Linked DNA regions of Arabidopsis thaliana. The protein of the gene in region 1 interacts with the protein of each later gene in a pairwise test. Each region holds a gene or a part of one and is shown in the gene's direction. Other genes may lie near its edges.

What was found.
Region 2: the proteins of SERAT1;1 (region 1) and OASC interact in a two-hybrid assay, tested with the Arabidopsis thaliana proteins (one study listed by BioGRID).

What each region holds. Positions count from the first base shown.
Region 1 is NC_003076.8:22,957,807-22,966,928, reverse strand, and holds SERAT1;1 (serine acetyltransferase 1;1), read left to right. Parts: upstream 1-4,215; 5' UTR 4,216-4,346; coding exon 4,347-4,790; intron 4,791-4,936; coding exon 4,937-5,431; 3' UTR 5,432-5,700; downstream 5,701-9,122. Other genes in the region: ET2 (effector of transcription2), read left to right, coding at 688-789, 1,115-1,474, 1,556-2,545; AT5G56770 (transcription repressor-like protein), read left to right, coding at 2,940-3,061, 3,174-3,576, 3,696-3,935; NDL1 (N-MYC downregulated-like 1), read right to left, coding at 6,323-6,541, 6,638-6,773, 6,885-6,940, 7,038-7,094, 7,187-7,351, 7,443-7,503, 7,588-7,676, 7,767-7,864 and 2 more.
Region 2 is NC_003074.8:22,069,651-22,080,697, reverse strand, and holds OASC (O-acetylserine (thiol) lyase), read left to right. Parts: upstream 1-5,281; 5' UTR 5,282-5,352; coding exon 5,353-5,709; intron 5,710-5,869; coding exon 5,870-5,979; intron 5,980-6,065; coding exon 6,066-6,123; intron 6,124-6,253; coding exon 6,254-6,517; intron 6,518-6,779; coding exon 6,780-6,917; intron 6,918-7,044; coding exon 7,045-7,096; intron 7,097-7,195; coding exon 7,196-7,275; intron 7,276-7,426; coding exon 7,427-7,486; intron 7,487-7,607; coding exon 7,608-7,688; coding exon of another isoform or gene 7,689-7,701; intron 7,702-7,937; coding exon 7,938-8,024; coding exon of another isoform or gene 8,025-8,037; exon of another isoform or gene 8,038-8,434; intron 8,435-8,564; coding exon 8,565-8,579; 3' UTR 8,580-8,750; downstream 8,751-11,047. Other genes in the region: SAC9 (sacI homology domain-containing protein / WW domain-containing protein), read left to right, coding at 1-167, 273-713, 805-1,038, 1,136-1,417; AT3G59750 (Concanavalin A-like lectin protein kinase family protein), read left to right, coding at 8,877-9,314, 9,401-10,843. UniProt on the Arabidopsis thaliana protein: Acts as a cysteine synthase. Plays a role in the sulfide detoxification in mitochondria.

The sequences.
Region 1 (9,122 bases):
GTCGACAACCAAATGCCACAATCCGGTGGGTAGAAATACCCGATGAACAGATTTACATATTCAACAACATAAATTAAATGTGTTTTCTTATAAAACATGACAAATATTAATTTGATAAGTATTTGTGTCTTTGACATTACTTTTTTAAAAAAGAGTTATTTTACGCATATTTTGTAAATATTCAATTTATTCTAAAATACTAATGATTAACAAAGGATAGACAAGATTGGTTGAAAACGAATATCACATGACCAATTTCTGGTTCTCATCAATATATTTGGTAATAACATTTGCCAAATCAAGTAAAAGTGTAATAAAAAAATCCCAAAGATAGAAGAAAATTTGACCAATTGAAAAGTTAAGTATTCTCATTAAAGAATGTAGATTCCCTCCCTTATGCTAATTACGGTTGTCAACATTGACTAATGTAGATTAAAAAAAAAAAATCCAACGGTAACTAATAAACCGTACAGAAGAAGCTTCACCGTTCCAACGGTAACTTGAAACTTTTCCTTCGGACAGAATAAAACAAAAATCATCCATTTTGGAAGGATAAACATCCATTTTTGGAGGGGAGAAAAACTTTTCTCATTTTTAACGGTGGTGTCTCTAAATTAACGAGCACTGAGAAAAAAGACCAAGTCCGCTTTAATTTAACGGTCACACTATATCATCGGTTTTATCGAAATGGAATTCGGCGACGGCGTTTCCTTCGCCGTCGTCCCCACTGTCTTCAAAAGAGAAGACTACAAACGAACTAAACACGACACCGTCTTCTCCAAGTGGCAGGTCCTCTGTCTTTCTCTTTCTCGATTTGTAGATTGAGAATTTTCGCTCGATCTTGTGTTTTCTCTGAAACCCATTTCGGAATTCTCAGATTTTCAGTTGAATCGAAAAATCTGATCTTCCATTTCCAGGATTTCAGTGTAAAGATCCCATTTTGAATGCCTAGTGTGTCTGCTTTGTCCCAAATGCATTTTCTCTGGATTTCTGTTAGAATTGGTCGCTAACTATATGTATATCTAATTAGCCTAATTCTGTTTCATTTGCTACTTGAAGTGGTTGGTTTTAGATCTTAGTTTTATCTGATTGTGTAAAGTTTGATGCTGCACAGGTACTTATAGGATCCAACGATTGGGAAGATTTCAAAAACGGAAAAGATGGTGTAGGTAGATACAGAGTCCAGAACTTACCTCGTAAATCTTGTCCGGGTCTGTATGAGCTCGGTGTAGCGGTCATCGGTCAAGAACAATGTCGAAAGCTTGAACCAGATATTGTTCTTGCTTCATATCTAGGACAAGCTGAAAGTGTTAGGTCTAGACTTCAGCGTTATGGAAGATCCGGTGCTCATTTGCGCAATGTTAACAACCTTAACGACTGTGAAACTATTGAATCTCCAGTTAAGGCTGTTACTGGAGGTTTATTTGAAGACATATTTTCGAAAGGAGGCTCGATTTTATACAGATGGGCTCCGGTTAGTAAATACATTTCTTCTTTTCTTCTATATTGGTTTGCTAAGTATACAACTTTGATCTAACTCATGTGATTGTATCAGATGGGATCTAAGAGAGAAGCTGAGGCAACAGAAGGGATGCTCTTGAGCACATTTGACTATGCTTGGAACAAAGGAAGTAACGGGGAGCGAAGGCAGCTTGATTTGCTTAAGAAGCTCGGTGATCGCGAGTTTATGAGCAAGAGAAAGTCCGGTATATCTCGAATGCTGTTTCCTTTTCTTCGGAACCAAGTTGGTATCAGAATAAAAGGAGAGAAGCATGTGCTTAAAGAAGAGAGGAAGCTAACCTGTGATGTTGATGAAGAGAAGAGTAATAATTTCCTCACTTCAATACTCAAACTCACCCGGTCTAGACCTCAACCGGTTTCAGACAGATTTGATGAGGTTGATGGTTCTTGTTCTGATATTGTTTGTGGAGTCTTACTTGAAGATGGTGGCTGTTGCATTAGAAGTCCAGTCAAAGGGAGAAAGAGATGCATAGAGCATAAAGGACAGAGAGTTTGCCGTGTTTCACCCGAAAAACAGACACCGCCAAAGTCCGAGATTTTCACTGGACAAGATCATCACAATCATAAAGACTCTGATGTTGTGTGTGGAGTGATCTTACCTGACATGGAACCTTGCAATAAGAGACCTGTTCCTGGAAGAAAACGATGTGAGGATCATAAAGGCATGAGGATCAATGCTTTTCTTTTTCTTCTTAACCAAACTGACCGTGAGAAAACCGTCAAAGACGAGAAACCTGATCCCGAATCGCATACCGAGTCAATCGAAGAAGAAGCTTTGACTCGCTTCTGTGAAGCTACAACAAAGAATGGGTTACCTTGCACAAGAAGTTCTCCTAAAGGAAGCAAAAGGTGTTGGCAACATAAGGAGAAAACTTCCAGCGATACTTCGCCGGTATATTTTCAGCCAGAGGCAGCAAAAAACGTAGCTTGTGGAGTTAAATTAGGCAATGGATTGATCTGTGAGAGATCTCCGGTAAAAGGACGTAAGAGATGTGAAGAGCATAAGGGAATGAGAATCACCTAACCTCTGCATCACTTGTTTATGTTATTTGTTACCTAACCAGAATTGTTTGTACCAAAACCGTTTTGGTTTCGGTATTGGTTTGCTGAACAATCATCTGTACTGGATGACTCACAATCTCATTTTTTATAAATTTAAAATCAGTTTTGATTAACATCGTTGACTTGCATCTTTGCATTACATTAGATGTTTTTAGATTTAAAAATACATAGACCCGTTTCCCGCCATGCCTCCACTTTGTTACTTGTCCATGATGCGAAAAACTGTAAACGACCCATTTCTTTTTCAACTTCCCTTCGCTTCTTCCATATATCTACGATCGTAATATATCAGAGCTGCCTTCTTTCATTATTTTTCTGTAGCAGAACCGTTTTGTTCTGTTTTATTTTGTTTGACAATGTCGTTTGTTCTATTATCGAAGATGGCGAAGTTGAAGTTTAACCATATACGACACACAATCATTAGCACGCAAAAAAGCACAACCATTATGCCGGGGATAAGTCAGCTCTTGAACAATAGGTCTCTTATCATCTCATCTATTCACAATGTTGTTGCATTTTTATCCTCTGTTTTTTTTCTTACTATTATTGGTCCTTCAGGCTTTAAATTAATGGTCATAATGTATCACCAGATTGATCGGAAAGGAATTCAGTTCCGCCGTCCCCACTATGTTCAAGAGAGAAGACTACAAGCTGACTATACACGACATCGCATTCTCCAAATGGCGGAATCTTATAAGACACAATGATTGGAAAGATTTCAATAATAGAAAAGAAAGGGTCCGTAGATACAGACATGAGGACTTACCCCCTCAACGTTGTACGGGTCTGTATGAGCTCGGTGTAGGCGTCATCGGTCAAGACCAAGGCCAAAACTTTGATCCTGATAATAATGTTCTTGGTGTATATGTCGGACAATGTGTAGACGTAAAATCAAGACTCCAGGATTATGGAAGACGCGGTGGTCATTTGCCCTCGGGTTTATATGAGGACATATTCTCGGAAGGATACTCAGTTTTTTATAGATGGGCACCAGTAAATACATGTCTTCTTATCTTCTCTAGTTGGTCTGCTACGTATACACCTTTGATCCTAACTCATGTGATTGTTTCTCTGCTTTACCGTGATTTATCAGATGGGATCTAATTAAGTAGGAAGCTGCTGCAACAGAAGGGATGCTTTTGAGCACTTTTGATTATGCATGGAACACATGCAGTAATGGGGAACGACGCCATCTTGAGTTACAGAAGCTCGGTGACCCCGAGTTTATGAGCAAGAGAAAGTCACAAGTGCTAGTTCCTTCTATTCGAGACCAAGTTGTTACCATCAAAGTAGAGAAGAGTAATTATACTTTCCTCACTTCAACACTCAAAGTGATGAGACCATTTGGTTAACCGGAGTAAACCTACATCGACTAGGTCAAAGATATGGCTTTTGTTTCTCCTAAATTAATTGGATTGTAACCCACTTATTCACGTTTCAAATTTGTAGTGTTAGTAGTTAATTTGTATAGTTTCTTTTTTTTTTTGATCAAAAATTTGTTACGGAAAAAGTTTGGTAAGAATGTCGGCAGAATCACCACCGTCGATTAACGGAAAGATAAATCTAATCTAACGGTTATTGATAAAGCATAAAACTGACGGCTCCGATTTTATTTTCTAAAAATCACGTTAATCACGCACCAGGTGGACTATCATTGTCTTTAATCTATGGATTTAAAAATTTCCGCACGATTAAAGAGCGTCTCGAAAATTAACTTTTATAGGTAGGAGGAGATAGAAATCGAATCTTATCGCCGCGTTAATATGCCACCGGCCGGAGAACTCCGACATCAATCTCCATCAAAGGAGAAACTATCTTCCGTTACCCAATCCGATGAAGCAGAAGCAGCGTCAGCAGCGATATCTGCGGCAGCTGCAGATGCGGAAGCTGCCGGATTATGGACACAGATCAAGGCGGAAGCTCGCCGTGATGCTGAGGCGGAGCCAGCTTTAGCTAGCTATCTATATTCGACGATTCTTTCTCATTCGTCTCTTGAACGATCTATCTCGTTTCATCTAGGAAACAAGCTTTGTTCCTCAACGCTTTTATCCACACTTTTATACGATCTGTTCTTAAACACTTTTTCCTCCGATCCTTCTCTTCGTAACGCCACCGTCGCAGATCTACGCGCTGCTCGTGTTCGTGATCCTGCTTGTATCTCGTTCTCTCATTGTCTCCTCAATTACAAAGGCTTCTTAGCTATTCAGGTGAAATCTTCATCATTTGATCTGATGAATCCACAATTTCTATATCTTGCGATTTGATTTATGAATATTGTTTTAGGTTAGGTTAGGTTGATTCTTCAGTTATGCGAATTTCGGATCATGATTTGGCTTTGTTGAATTTGAATTAGGCGCATCGTGTATCACACAAGCTATGGACACAATCACGGAAGCCATTAGCATTAGCTCTACACTCAAGAATCTCCGATGTATTCGCTGTTGATATCCATCCAGCAGCGAAGATCGGAAAAGGGATACTTCTAGACCACGCAACCGGAGTTGTAGTCGGAGAAACAGCGGTGATTGGGAACAATGTTTCAATCCTTCACCATGTGACACTAGGTGGAACAGGTAAAGCTTGTGGAGATAGACATCCGAAGATCGGTGACGGTTGTTTGATTGGAGCTGGAGCGACTATTCTTGGAAATGTGAAGATTGGTGCAGGTGCTAAAGTAGGAGCTGGTTCTGTTGTGCTGATTGACGTGCCTTGTCGAGGTACTGCGGTTGGGAATCCGGCGAGACTTGTCGGAGGGAAAGAGAAGCCAACGATTCATGATGAGGAATGTCCTGGAGAATCGATGGATCATACTTCATTCATCTCGGAATGGTCAGATTACATCATATAAAGTTGTTGTTATAATTGTTTCTGTGGTTTTGAAAGTGAAAAACTTTCTGACCATTCGCTTATAGAGAGGTGCTGAGGTAAGTGAGCTTTGTTGTATTTGTAATTTACAAAACATCTTACGATGTTCAATACAAGAAATGGCCTTAATTTGATGTTATTATTCAATCATTAGTTATCCAAGAGTTTATACACTTCTTCTACTTTGTATTCGGGTTTGGCTCGGATTTACACTTGTCTGCATCCATTTTACGGGCTTGACAAACATCGAGGAGCATTGAACTTGTTCAGACTAAGTGAAGCATTCTTCGCCTTTACCCCGGTTCATGAGGGACTATGTTTTCGTCAACCGCAACTAATCCTTATGCGTATCTTATATCAGTATATAACTTACGGCTTCTGCAAAGAAGGATTGGTCTCCATTTCCATTTACAATTCAATTCAGACTAAAAAGTTTCAATCTGATGATCCAAATAGTTCAGGATCAAGACTGTTAAACCATTAAATATCAATATTAAGCAAAAACCAGATTCTAACTTGGTGAAATCAATGTGCTTGTAAGGCCAATTAGAGAACCAAAAACAAAATGCAAAATGAATTTTATTACTTGCTTCTGCAGAGTTCGTCACAAAACAATTGTTACAATGTCACAAGAACAGAACATTTTACATATGTATAAAAAAATGAAATAATAAACAACATTTTGTGGCATCTTAACAAGAGAACTGTCGTGTCGGCTGACTACAAAAGAATGTGTTATATGATGGTGGCTTGAATTTTTCTTCTTCGTCTTCTTCTTCTCAAATCTCCCTAGTATTGTTCTATATCTACAAAAGCCCTAAGATTTCTTCTCCTCAGCAAAATTAGAACCAATGAATCAGTAGTGCACACACACTTAAGCCGCCGAAATTCTGGTTTTGATAGGCTTAAGCTTTAATCCCATGCTTTCAGGAGAGAGAAGCTCAGGTGAAATACAAGAAGGGCTAAGTGGACTTCTAGGGCTCTCGGAGAAAAGAGATGGTCTGTATAATCCGTAACCCATCAAGAAATATTCCATTGGGATCAACATTGCATGTGGTTGCTCCTCTGTTACCATTGAACCACAAGCCTGAACCTGATAATATTTCCAAGAAAACATCTATTAGTAGCAAGAAAACCAAACATGTGTTTATATGTAAAGTACAAAGGATGAGGATTCGTTTTCTCAAACCTCAACCAAAGCACAGTATCCTCTATCCAAAGTTGCTGCCATGTGAACAGCTTCTGAGTAGAAAGGAGATTGATCTCCGATGAAGATAAGTGTCCTGCATTTTAGTTTCTTCAATCCACTTGAGATGTCAGGTCTCCTGCAAGAGCAAAGGTTTGGTTTGCATAAAGTTAAAGAAAAGTCAATATTTGACACCATGAATGAATGAATGCTTCTAAGGTAAAGGATTTCGAGGTGTTTGTTGTGTTACCGGTCAATGGCGTCAAGAAATCGCAAAACGTTTATGCCTTGTCTTTCATCAAGCAGCTGAGACAATCACCAAAAGTGCAAGGTGTGAATCACTGATACAGTAAAATCAATCTATTGATGAAACAGAAAAACAACAGAAGAGATAAACACTGACTCTTCTGCAAGCTTGTGCTATATCTGACTCTGGAATCTCAACGTTACCACGGACTTCCTGTAGCAAGCAGTTGCAACCGGTTTAAATAAGAGAAGTCTGGAAATGCAACAAGTGCAGAGAGAGAGCAATGGTAACTGCAGTGAACACACCTTACTAAAATATCTCTGAAGCAAAAATTCCTTTACCACTCCACACATTCCGTAATAATATAACAAGTTTGTGATAACCTTGTTGTAAAACCATTCAGACCAAGACGGCGCCTTGCATAACGGTGAGACAAGAATCAAACCAAGAACCCGTTCTCTATGTTTCATCTGAAAAGTTTTAAAACATAGAAGAGATGATAAACACAGTATTCTTCTGAAGCAATGGGCAATGAGAAGAGAAAAATAAATAGGAACATACCGCGAATAAGGTGAGGATATAAGCACCTGCAGTCACTCCCATACACATCACAACACCAAGGCTGAACAAAAAGCTTATACATTGTTACCCGAAAAACAAAAGTTGAGAACTTCAATAAGCCAAAAATAAGGGATTCCATCGTTACCCGAAAAAGTTGAGAACTTCAAGGATCTGATCTGCCAAGTTTTCAGCAGAAGGGACTGAATCATTAGGACAAATTGGAGCAGCTCCTAACTGCAAGAAAACAGAGAAGTCATGTGAGTAAGTAATCACGTCAAGCAAAGCATACGGCAAGTTAAAAAAAGAGAAACTAAAATATTGGACCTCATGCCCAGGTGGACTGATATGGTAAATGCAGAAGTTATGAAGCAGCAATGAAGCTGCTTCAGGACAGAAGAATAACCCTTGGAAGCATGACATATCTGAAGAAGAAACAACAAAAACATTAATAAATTTAGCCATTACATTAGTGCCTATAGAGATTCTTTAGCCTTACGGTTTAGGGCTAAATCAGGATAAGTAATCAATGCTGGCTTTTCTCTGTCTCCATAGACAATGACAGACACAACACCACTAGCAGTTTTAACACGATGCTCCTGAACACAAGAAACCAACAAGTTATAACAAAAGTAACGGATCATGAAACCAACAGAAAAAAACTAAACTTTTAACCATACCATTTGTCTACTCCATATTCATAAAACATGTGTTTGTAAACAATGAATCTATTTTCTCGTTAGTAAATGTATACTAAAGATAGGAATATGACAACTGACTTTAGGTGGAAAAGAAATGCTTTGATTAACACACACACAAAAAAGAAAACATCTCTGTTAAAGCTTTTCCATGTGCAGCTTTACTACTTTTAAGGGCAAAAAAACAAAACCAAAAACTTGATCATCAACAACCAAAGAGAAATGGCCTAATTCTAATCATTGTGGTTTTTTTTTAATAAAAAGGGAATGACAGTTTAAAAAAGATGAGCTAATATGAGTCTTAATGAGATAATAAAGAAGCATTAGTCTTATTAAACAAAAGGTTAATGGTAGACAAAAACAGCTGGCATTTTCTTTTCTTTTTTCTATAAGATAAAAAAATCAAAAGGCAATAAGACAAAGAATAAGGAATACAAAATAATAATAAGAAGAAGATATCTTTGAATAGAGAGAAGAAGAAGATCCCAAGAATAATCCCATCTGGAAATGAATCATAATAATAAAAGAAGTTTCACAAATCCACAAGCAAAGAATTTCTCCAAGAACATTTGATTCAAACAAAAGATGAGTCTTTTTTTTACAAAAACAAATGAATCTAACAATGCCCACATGTCTGTTCTTCCCCAAATCAACAGAAAGATTAGATTTAAGCAAGTTTAAGATAAACCCAGAAACAAAAATCAAAGCTTTATTCGGATCCGAGTTCAAAGGTTAAAGAATGAAACCTTGCCACCAAGATAGATTGTTCCAACGTCGACGGAGACGGCGCCGTAAGAGTCCGTCATTGGCAACAAAAGCTCTTCCGCTTAGCCGTCACCGTCGCCGTCGTTGTTTTAAGAACGCCGGGATAACAAGAGCTTCTTCTCTTTTCTTCTTCTTCTTCTCCCAACCTCTAGATTGTTTTTTGGCTTTTCTTTAGCTTATATACAAAGCGATGCCTTTTCTCTCTCCTCTCTCTTAAGAC
Region 2 (11,047 bases), on another chromosome or scaffold:
TCTCATTGCTCACCCCTCTGAATCTTGCTTCAAGTAATGCCTACTGGAAAGCTCCTCCGTCTGCAGACTCTGTTGAAGCCGCCATTGTTCTCAACACCCTTTCAGATGTCAGCAGTGTGATTCTACTCGTTAGTCCATGTGGTTACTCTGATGCTGATGCTCCTACCGTAAGTTTGACTTTTCTATCTTCAGTTGAATTCTTGTTAACCCATGCCATTACTTACGTGATAATGCTGCCACTCATTTCAACATTTTATGTATCTTCATTGCAGGTCCAAATTTGGGCGAGCAGCGACATAAACAAGGAAGCACGGACTTTGATGGGAAAGTGGGATGTACAGTCCTTTATTAGATCTTCGCCTGAGCTTTCTGGTTCAGAAAAGTCTGGTAGAGCACCTAGGCATATAAAATTTGCTTTCAAGAATCCTGTCCGTTGCCGCATTATATGGATAACACTGCGTCTTCCTAGGCTTGGATCTAGTAGCTCAGTTAGTTTGGACAAAAACATCAATCTCTTATCTTTGGATGAGAACCCATTTGCTCCAATTCCTCGACGTGCCTCTTTTGGAGCAACCATTGAGAATGATCCATGTATTCATGCAAAACACATCTTGGTCACTGGAAACACCGTGAGGGATAAAACGCTACAAAGTGTTGAGAGCATGAGCGTAAGAAACTGGCTGGACAGAGCCCCACGTTTGAATAGATTCCTGGTTAGTGCCTTAGAGAACTGCTCGTTCCTTTTCACCTTTTTCTGTGGTATTTCGTTTATTGTCACTAATATTTGTTTTTTTCACCTTCCAGATACCATTAGAGACTGAGAGACCAATGGAGAATGATCTAGTCTTGGAACTTTATCTGCAACCTGCTTCACCTTTAGCTGCTGGATTCCGTTTAGATGCTTTTAGTGCGATAAAGCCTCGTGTAACCCACTCGCCTTCTTCAGATGTAGTTGACATTTGGGACCCGACGAGTGTCATAATGGAAGATAGACACGTCTCTCCGGCCATCTTGTATATACAAGTATCTGTTCTACAGGTATCTATCTCTCCTCCTCCCGGTTTATTATATATCCTCAGAAACCAAAATGTTGTAATAACTTTTTCATGTTGATCTGAAAAATGTTAATCTACAGGAGCAATACAAAATGGTGACAATCGCGGAATACAGATTGCCTGAGGCGAGAGATGGAACAAAGTTGTATTTTGACTTCCCTAAACAGATACAAGCACAGAGAGTATCGTTTAAACTGCTAGGAGATGTAGCAGCTTTTACAGATGAGCCCGCAGAGGCTGTTGATTTGAGCAGCCGGGCTTCTCCTTTTGCTGCAGGACTGTCTTTAGCAAACAGGATCAAGCTATATTACTATGCGGATCCTTACGAAGTAGGCAAATGGACTAGCCTTTCAAGTGTCTGATTTTACACTTTCACTGGCCGTAGCTTGGTTCGATCCACACACTTTGTGGTCAGAGATTTTGTTTTTGCTTTATTCCTTTCCTCTAAAAATTAGTGTGCTGTGTTTGTTTGGTGGTGGAAGTATTAATCACCGTGTAATTTGTATTTGCACGGCAAAGATTAAAAAATATGTTATACTAGATGGAGTGATTTTGATGTTCTTAACGTTTGGTGTACGTAAAGTTGTTAATTACCACAATTCTTGTAGCTAGCCATCAATATAGCCATCAAAAGGACACCACATATCCGTGTGTCTAAGTCTAATTGCTCCAAAAACATTTTTTGTCTTAGCCACATATAACCACAAAATGACTTTACAAAAAATAAAATGTACCAGAAATTGGCCACAATATATAACAGTGGCTAGGTCAGAAAATATATTCAAAAAAAAATTATTGCATAATTATATTTGTTAATAATCTATAAACCATAAGCGAATAATACTATACATAATCATTAAAATCATAGAGTTTTAAAATCCAAAATACATGTTTAAAGATGTATAATGTATGATGAACATTTGTCTTAAGTAAGAGTGTAATCATAATTATGGTGAGACTAGTTAAGATGTAAACATTTTCAAATGGGGTTAAGCCTTAACCCCGTTATTGTTAATAAAATAAATGATAAGCGCAAAAAGATTCATAATTATTGACCAATTTGAATGGGTTGGGCCGATATGGAGAAAGCCCAACAGTAAGTATACGACTTTACACGTGTCTTGTTGGTTCAGTGTGAGTTAGCCGTTGAAGATACAGAACGGTAACTTATGACGTCATGGCTGACTTATATTCAGACATGACAAAGTAGCCGTTGATGCTTTTCCCAACGGGCGAGAAAACTTGTCTATATATAAACACACACACACACGAGCGTTTAGTACAATTTAGTAATCTAATGTTCTAGAAATGTAAAATTCCTCTCCTGTCGTCTTCTACAATAAAATCCGAAGTGTCGTTATCTACAAGAAGAGTCCAAAGTGTCTTCATCCAATCGTTGGTGAGTCGCTTTAATTCTTTATTTGATCTTTTCTGATTATTTTCAGTCTTTTTTACACATGTGACTGCAAAACGGATGCCTTTTTTAATTTATTTCTTCTTTCAGCTTTCCTCACTGTTTGTTTGTCCTCTCTCTTTAATTCAAAAATAAATCAGGCTTTTAAAATCACGATTGTGTCCATATCTGAACATGGCTTTTTTCTCTGTGTTTTAGCTTTCTAGCTGCATTTTTAGGTTTTATTTACACGGATTACTTCCTCCTGTTTTGGGAATTTTGCTATGTTTGACTTTGCTATGCTCTGTTTGACTTTGCTATACTTGTTGACTTTGATTTTAATATCTCTGCTACACTTGTTATAAAAAAGGGACTGATGAACATTTGGATTTCGAAGTTGAATTGATTATTCTTTGATGATGTAATATTTATTATTAATCCAAAAATTTAGTAATAAGATTCTTTTGTTTTTTTGTATGGGAAGATGACTTCAGAAAAAGCTTGCTTCAAGCCCAACAACTACGGTCCACGGATATGACTACTTAGAGCAAGTTCCAGCCTCACACATGAATTGCGATCTTCTCAAAGGTTAGTTTTTTTCAATGCCTTCTTTTTTTTTTTTTGATAATTTTTTTAAAGTGTATGATAGATTGATAATGACATTTGTTTGAATATTAAAAAAAAAAAAACTTGCTTGTAAAAAACACATGTAGCCAAACGTCACTTTAAAGGTAAAAAATAAACACTTTAATGAAATCCCAGCCGAAACACTTAGTCTAATTTAGTCGAAGCACCTAGTAAGAAAAACGTAGCGCATTTTAAGTTGAATTAAATTTTAGCAACTCTAGTCGTTGTATTACTCTAAGTATTAGTCGAACCACGTTATTTAGCAACAACACGTAGGAATTGTTGCTTTAGTTAAATTACTTAGTCGAAGTAGTTTATCAAATTCAGTCTAAAAAGTACATTATAGACCAAAAAAAAAAAAAAAAAATAGCCCACTTTTAGTTGAAATCATACTAAATAGCAACACTTTTAGAAGAGATAAACACATTAGTCGGAACACCTGTAACGAACTTAGTTACAAAAGACTGTGCACACTCAAACAAGTTAGCACCTAGTCGCAACACTTAGTTGAGATACGAACCTAAATATCTCTAATCAATCGTTTGTAAACCACATTTTAGTTTAGCCAAAAACAGTCGAATACTCAAACATTATATCACTTTTTAGTTTCGTCAAATCATATTGAATAGTCGAAAAATAAACGAAATGCGTTCTCGGGTAATAAGTATTCTAGAGCAAAAATGTGATTAAAAACAATATGAGTAAAATGCATTCATGAATTATGAAGTTGCAAATTTCAACCAGCTGATGCCGACGTGTTGGATTTCAGGAAGTTGTTGGATATCAAAGACCCTTGGAGATCTTAGGGTTTAGGCTTCTAGAGGCTTTAAGCATTGTACAATTTGTAAACTTCAAAGCATTAGTCGGGGTTGTTCTTAGTCGAGTTGAATAATTAGGCTTAATTATTCTTAATTGTTCTTAGTGTTAGTTCTTTTTGTCTTCACGGGCGGCTGATAAGAAATAGAGGACAATTAGGCTTAATTATTCATTCAGGTAGAAAATGTCGGGGTTGTTCATTCAGGGGTTGTTCATTAAACTTAATTCTCCTTAGTCGGGGTTGTTCATTCAGGTAGAATATGTCAAGTAAGTTCCGAGATAATACTTGTTAAAGAGTTTATTATCAATAAAAATAAAGTTTAAGCACTTGTTGTTTGCAAGTGAATTCTCTGTGTTGTTTTTGTCTCTATACCTTTTAAATTATATTTTTATTGAATATATAGAGTAAATGTAAAATGGTAAGACTTTTGGTATATAGTTTTTTAAGTGAATTTGACGCATAAATTTCATGAAACTCTTACATAATATATATATCAAAATTGTATAACAAAATTTTTGTATTTTACAGACATTACTTAAAATTGCATAACTACAAACGAAAAACAACCAATTTTCTCAGACTTTTACAGTTTGTACTTCGAATGGTTAAGAAATCAGATTCTATTGATGTGGTTACTCGTTACCCAATAAAATAGTAATTGATCATAATTTAATGTTCTATTGATGTAGAAGTCTTAGAAGATACTTACTAATGGACGAAAATATCGAGAAAGAAAAAAAAAAAGGTACAACAACGGCATATTTCCGTGAGAATAATGCGCGTGGAACGATTAATGTGGCTATTCATTGCTTAACGGCCTTTTTAGTGTCGGCTCTAAGGCCCATTTTTGTCTTTGTGCAAATTTAACGGTGAATGTGTTTGTTCAGGTGTTTTACATTTTTTTTTTTTGAGTGTTGGAACGCTTTTGTTAGAGTTTATGTAGCTCGGATTAAGACAACCCTAATTGGCTAATTGCTACCGCCTACCATTGTTTGACTCAGTTATACGGGCTTAAGATGAGCTGATTCCTTATCGAACAAACCAAAACCAAATAATGTCAAATTTAAGAAGAAGAATCTTTTCAAGTTACATTTTCTCAGAAGCTTTTGGTTCCTTTGTTACTGACTATTTCCTTGTTGACCAAACCAAAACCAAACAATGTCAAATTCAAGAACAAGAATATCTAACGGCAACGGATCCAAGACGATGAATTTGACATTAAAAAAAAAAAAGTTAACCAGAAAGATTCATGCAACACTTGAGAGGTATGAAGGTACGAATAAGAACACATTCTCCACGTTCGCTTTTGGTCAGTGCACTTCACTTGGTTGGTGATTAAAAAAAAAATGTATAAAATATAAAAATGAAACTTAATATAAAGTTGAAAGCTTGGTCTAAAAATGGACCGTATCTGAAAATCCAATCGACGTCGTATTCCAAGAAAATAGAAAAGTAGGATCATGGTGGCGATGATCATGGCTTCAAGGTTTAACCGGGAAGCTAAGCTCGCATCTCAAATCTTGTCTACACTTTTGGGAAACCGAAGCTGCTACACATCCATGGCCGCCACATCTTCCTCTGCTTTACTTCTTAATCCGTTGACTTCTTCTTCTTCTTCTTCTACTCTCCGTCGTTTCAGATGCTCGCCAGAGATCTCTTCTCTCTCCTTCTCCTCCGCTTCTGATTTCTCTCTAGCGATGAAGAGGCAGAGTCGGAGTTTTGCTGATGGTTCGGAACGAGATCCGTCTGTTGTGTGTGAGGCTGTTAAGCGCGAGACTGGACCTGATGGACTCAACATCGCTGACAATGTGTCTCAGGTTAGATTTGAAATTGAAATTGGTGATCAAATTTTTGAGCTTTCCTCTAATGGGAATGTTGGCGAAAGTGTGATTGTCCATTAAAATTTGAAACTTGATTAGCTTTTTAAATAGTTCAGAATTTACTTACGTATCTCTCATTGTTCTTGGCTTGATTCAGCTCATTGGGAAAACTCCTATGGTGTACTTGAACAGTATAGCAAAAGGTTGTGTAGCAAATATTGCTGCCAAACTCGAGATCATGGAGCCATGTTGCAGTGTCAAGGATAGGTCTGTAGCTTAAGTCTTTTGTGGCTTGTTTGTATGTTTTTAGTTGAGTCCCTTCAAGTCCTAACTTTTATGTTTCACGGATTCAGGATTGGGTACAGTATGGTTACTGATGCTGAGCAAAAAGGATTTATATCACCTGGAAAGGTATCGATTATAGATTGATCAGTCTTTTGTAAAGTTTAATGGATGAGACCAGCTTTTACACACATAAAGTTGTACAATCTATAGTCTGTTATTTCTGGTGGTTAATCATGTCCTTACTGCATTGATCTAGAGTGTTCTTGTGGAACCTACAAGTGGAAACACGGGTATTGGCCTAGCATTCATCGCTGCTTCAAGGGGCTATAGACTTATCTTGACAATGCCAGCATCCATGAGTATGGAAAGAAGGGTTCTTTTAAAGGCATTTGGAGCTGAGCTTGTATTAACAGATCCTGCTAAAGGCATGACTGGAGCGGTTCAGAAGGCTGAAGAGATCTTGAAAAACACTCCTGATGCATACATGCTCCAACAGTTTGACAACCCTGCAAATCCAAAGGTTTGTGGTTTATATTTTTCCTTATTTGTGTCATGATTTGGTTTTTGCTCTAGTCATGTACCATAAGAAGAGAAATGAAATGTTAAGTTAGAGTTAACCAGAAACTCATCTGTATTTAGAGAATGCCCACAAGTGTGTAACTGAAGTGGTTTTCACTTAAACTGTACAAGCAAATTGGGAAGTGGCTGATCCTTTGAAATCGGCATGATCTTCTGTGAGGTTCTCTTGTCACGTTTGTAAACTCAAGTTTGAATATACGCAGATTCATTACGAGACTACTGGTCCTGAGATCTGGGATGATACAAAGGGCAAGGTGGATATCTTTGTTGCAGGAATTGGAACTGGTGGAACTATCACTGGTGTTGGTCGATTTATTAAAGAGAAAAATCCCAAAACGCAGGTAGATGCAAAAGTTCAATGGTTTCATTCTTAGCTGGAGTACATTTTCAGGTGTTATTTAGACAGTATTGTATGTTCATTCAAGCAATATAATTCGTAGTTAACTATTCGATGTTTACATGTACCAGGTTATTGGTGTAGAACCCACCGAAAGCGATATACTTTCTGGTGGCAAACCGGGTAAGGCTTGCCAATAGATATCAATCAGTAATTTTGTTTCCATGATTTCGAAATATGATCTTATATTCACGTATTTTGCTTTCTCTTGCATTTATACAGGACCTCACAAGATTCAAGGAATTGGAGCTGGATTTATACCTAAGAATTTGGATCAGAAAATTATGGATGAAGTCATAGCGGTATGATTTATTTTGTTGGATTCTGTATGGTTATACAATTTATCTGGTTTCCACAAAACATCCACAATTCTTGTGTCAATTTATTGCTTAAATTTTCCAATTCCTGAGACTCAAACTTCATCAATTACTATCTTCTTTTTGCGTTTACCAGATTTCAAGTGAGGAAGCTATAGAAACCGCAAAGCAACTAGCTCTTAAGGAAGGCTTGATGGTTAGTTCTTTGCAGTATTTATGATTTCTGAGTGGGAACCACACGGATGTTGTGGTGTCATGTTGCATGTGAAAGGTGGAAATTACACAAGATTCTTACGTGAATGTAATAATCTTGTCAGGTTGGTATATCATCTGGAGCTGCAGCTGCTGCTGCAATCAAGGTGGCTAAGAGACCTGAGAATGCTGGAAAACTCATAGCTGTAAGTCTTTTCGGTTTCAGTTATGTGTTATGTCTTGAAAACAAAAAGGTGGTGCAAGGGGTCTTTGTGCAACATATAGATGGATTGCTTTAGATTTCATCTTAAGATAGATTTGAGGATTATTAAAGTCTCCCGAGTCTGTGATCCAATACTAAACCAAAGAATCAACAATATAGTCACTTGGCTAGTTAGATTGTTAAATCTTCTAAGTAGGTAACTGTTAATGAATCTATGAATGCGGTTTTTCAGGTTGTTTTCCCGAGCTTCGGGGAGAGATATCTATCGACCCCGCTGTTCCAGTCTATCCGGGAAGAGGTGGAGAAAATGCAGCCTGAGGTATGAACATTAGCAACTTGGTCTACTTCTGCAAAGCTCTTTCTCCCATAATTACAGTCTGAGTGCTAAGCAATTTATTTTTATCAATAAGGCATTAGTGAATGTGGTTTGAGTTCTATTTTGGATATCCAACACTAGTCTATGTTTTACTCAACATTTTCTGTTGGAAATCCCAATGCTTAATTATATTGAATTGAACAAGATGATTGATCCCTTGTTTGTTTTTCTTGTTAACCTAAAAAATATTAACTTTCATGAGTATTTTCATATATAATGATCAACGATGATAGGTTAGTGATATAACTTTACTTTTTCATGTAGACCAATAGAAAAAAATAAAATCAGAATCTAACTCTAAAACATGTCAAAAACTTATTTTTAATACAAATTTTGTGGTCAAAACTTTGGATGTGAAACTTACTTTGTTCGATTATTGCTTTTAAAGTACTTTTTGATGTTTTCCAGTTTTCACACAGTTTTAAGATCATAGAAAAATCCCGTCTTTTTGAAATTTTGATCCATATATTTTCTAATGCTCAGAGAGTCAGCGGTTAATATTAGGATTAGGACACGCTCTACCAATCCCACGATAATTGCTTTGAATCCAATGAAGATTGGAAGATTATTATCTTAATTGCTTTACGACTTGGTTTAGGCCCCATGTGTGTGTAAATACATAAATTTTTAATATGAACAACGCGGAAATCCATGTGAACGTTCGTTTCCATTTTGTTCGACCCTACTTTTGCAGTTTGGAATTCTTTTATACTCTTACTTAACTCTCAATGAGATGATAAAAATATCTCATATGATCAATTTCTTCCCATAAGCAAAAACAAAAAAAATCCTAACATGCCTAGTGAACTCAAAGTCTTGCATATAGTTCTTGTTCTGCTCTATACTCTGTCTTCATCTACTTACAACTCCAATGGAAACTGGACCCTGGAGGGCTCTGCAGCTGACAACTCCATTGGTGACACCATTTTAACGAACACCAAGAAGCATTCCTGCGGTCAAACTTTCAACAACGAATCCATTCCCATAAAAGATTCGTCTTTCAGCTTCCACTTCCTCTTTGGAATAGTACCTGAGCATACACAGTCCGGTTCACATGGCATGTCTTTCGTTATCTCTCCTACAGCAGGCCTTCCAGGAGCTTCCTCCGATCAGTACCTCGGATTATTCAATGAAACAACCAACGGTAAATCATCAAACCACGTTATAGCTATCGAGTTAGATATACAAAAAGACCAAGAGTTCGGAGATATTGATGATAATCATGTTGCAATGGTTTGACATCTGTTGTTTCTGCTTCTGCTGGTTACTATGATGATAAAGATGGAATCTTCAGAAATCTTTCTTTGATCAGCGGAAAGGTAATGCGGCTTTCTATCGTTTATAGTCATCCTGATCAACAGCTCAATGTTACTTTATTCCCGGCTGAGATCCCTGTTCCGCCACGGAAACCACTGCTGTCTTTGAATCGAGATCTCTCCCCGTATTTTTTGGAGGAGATGTATTATGGCTACACGGCATCGACTGGATCCATTGGAGCATTTCATTATATGTTGAGTTCGTACGCTACTCCAAAAGTTGAGAATCCAACATGGGAGTTCATCGTAGTCCCAACCCTTCCTCCATATCCGAAGAAATCGTCTGACAGAACAAAGAAGATTTTAGCGGTCTGCTTAACGCTTGCTGTGTTCGCTGTGTTTGTCGCCTCGGGAATCTGTTTTGTCTTCTATACGAGGCATAAGAAGGTTAAGGAGGTTCTTGAGGAATGGGAGATTCAATATGGACCTCATAGGTTTGCCTATAAGGAGCTTCTCAATGCCACAAAGGATTTCAAGGAGAAACAACTTCTTGGAAAAGGAGGCTTTGGTCAAGTCTTTAAAGGAACGCTCCCGGGTTCCAATGCAGAGATCGCTGTAAAACGGACTTCTCATGATTCAAGACAAGGCATGAGCGAGTTTCTAGCCGAGATATCGACCATTGGTCGTCTCAGGCATCCAAATCTAGTCAGGCTTCTGGGATATTGTAGGCATAAGGAGAATCTCTACTTGGTTTATGACTTTACGCCCAATGGAAGCCTTGACAAGTATCTAGACCGTAATGAGAATCAAGAACGGCTCACTTGGGAACAACGTTTCAAGATCATCAAAGATGTTGCATCTGCTCTACTACACCTGCATCAAGAATGGGTACAAATCATCATTCATAGAGATATCAAACCAGCTAATGTCCTAATCGACCACGAAATGAATGCAAGGATCGGGGATTTCGGATTGGCAAAGCTGTATGATCAGGGACTTGACCCTCAGACATCTAGAGTAGCGGGAACATTTGGTTATATCGCACCTGAGCTCCTAAGAACAGGAAGAGCGACCACAAGCACTGATGTTTATGCCTTTGGGTTGGTAATGCTTGAAGTTGTTTGTGGTAGAAGAATGATTGAGCGACGTGCACCGGAAAATGAAGAAGTTCTTGTGGATTGGATCTTAGAGCTTTGGGAAAGTGGGAAACTTTTCGATGCAGCTGAGGAAAGTATCCGTCAAGAACAAAACAGGGGAGAAATCGAGCTTCTTTTGAAGCTAGGTCTGTTGTGTGCACATCACACTGAACTGATTAGACCGAACATGAGTGCGGTTATGCAGATCTTGAATGGCGTTTCGCAGCTTCCAGATAATCTTCTTGATGTCGTAAGAGCTGAGAACTTGAGAGGAATGCCTGAAACATCAATCGAAGTACTACTTGGTCTTAATCTGTATTCAGTTGGTACAATGACATTAACAAATTCTTTCTTGTCCCATGGACGCTGAAACCGTTAAAGAAGTTAGTTTGAATGAACAGTTACATTCAAGCTTTTGTATCGTCTATTTGATGAATCACTACATTAGGGTTTCTTTATCTTGAATCAGTAAAGCCTTCCGTTTCATCCCCAAGTTCTTATATCTTAAATTTTTAGGACTCAACATATAATATGTTTTGTATTTTCTGCTTTCAAAGTTTTCTTGTTGGATTTG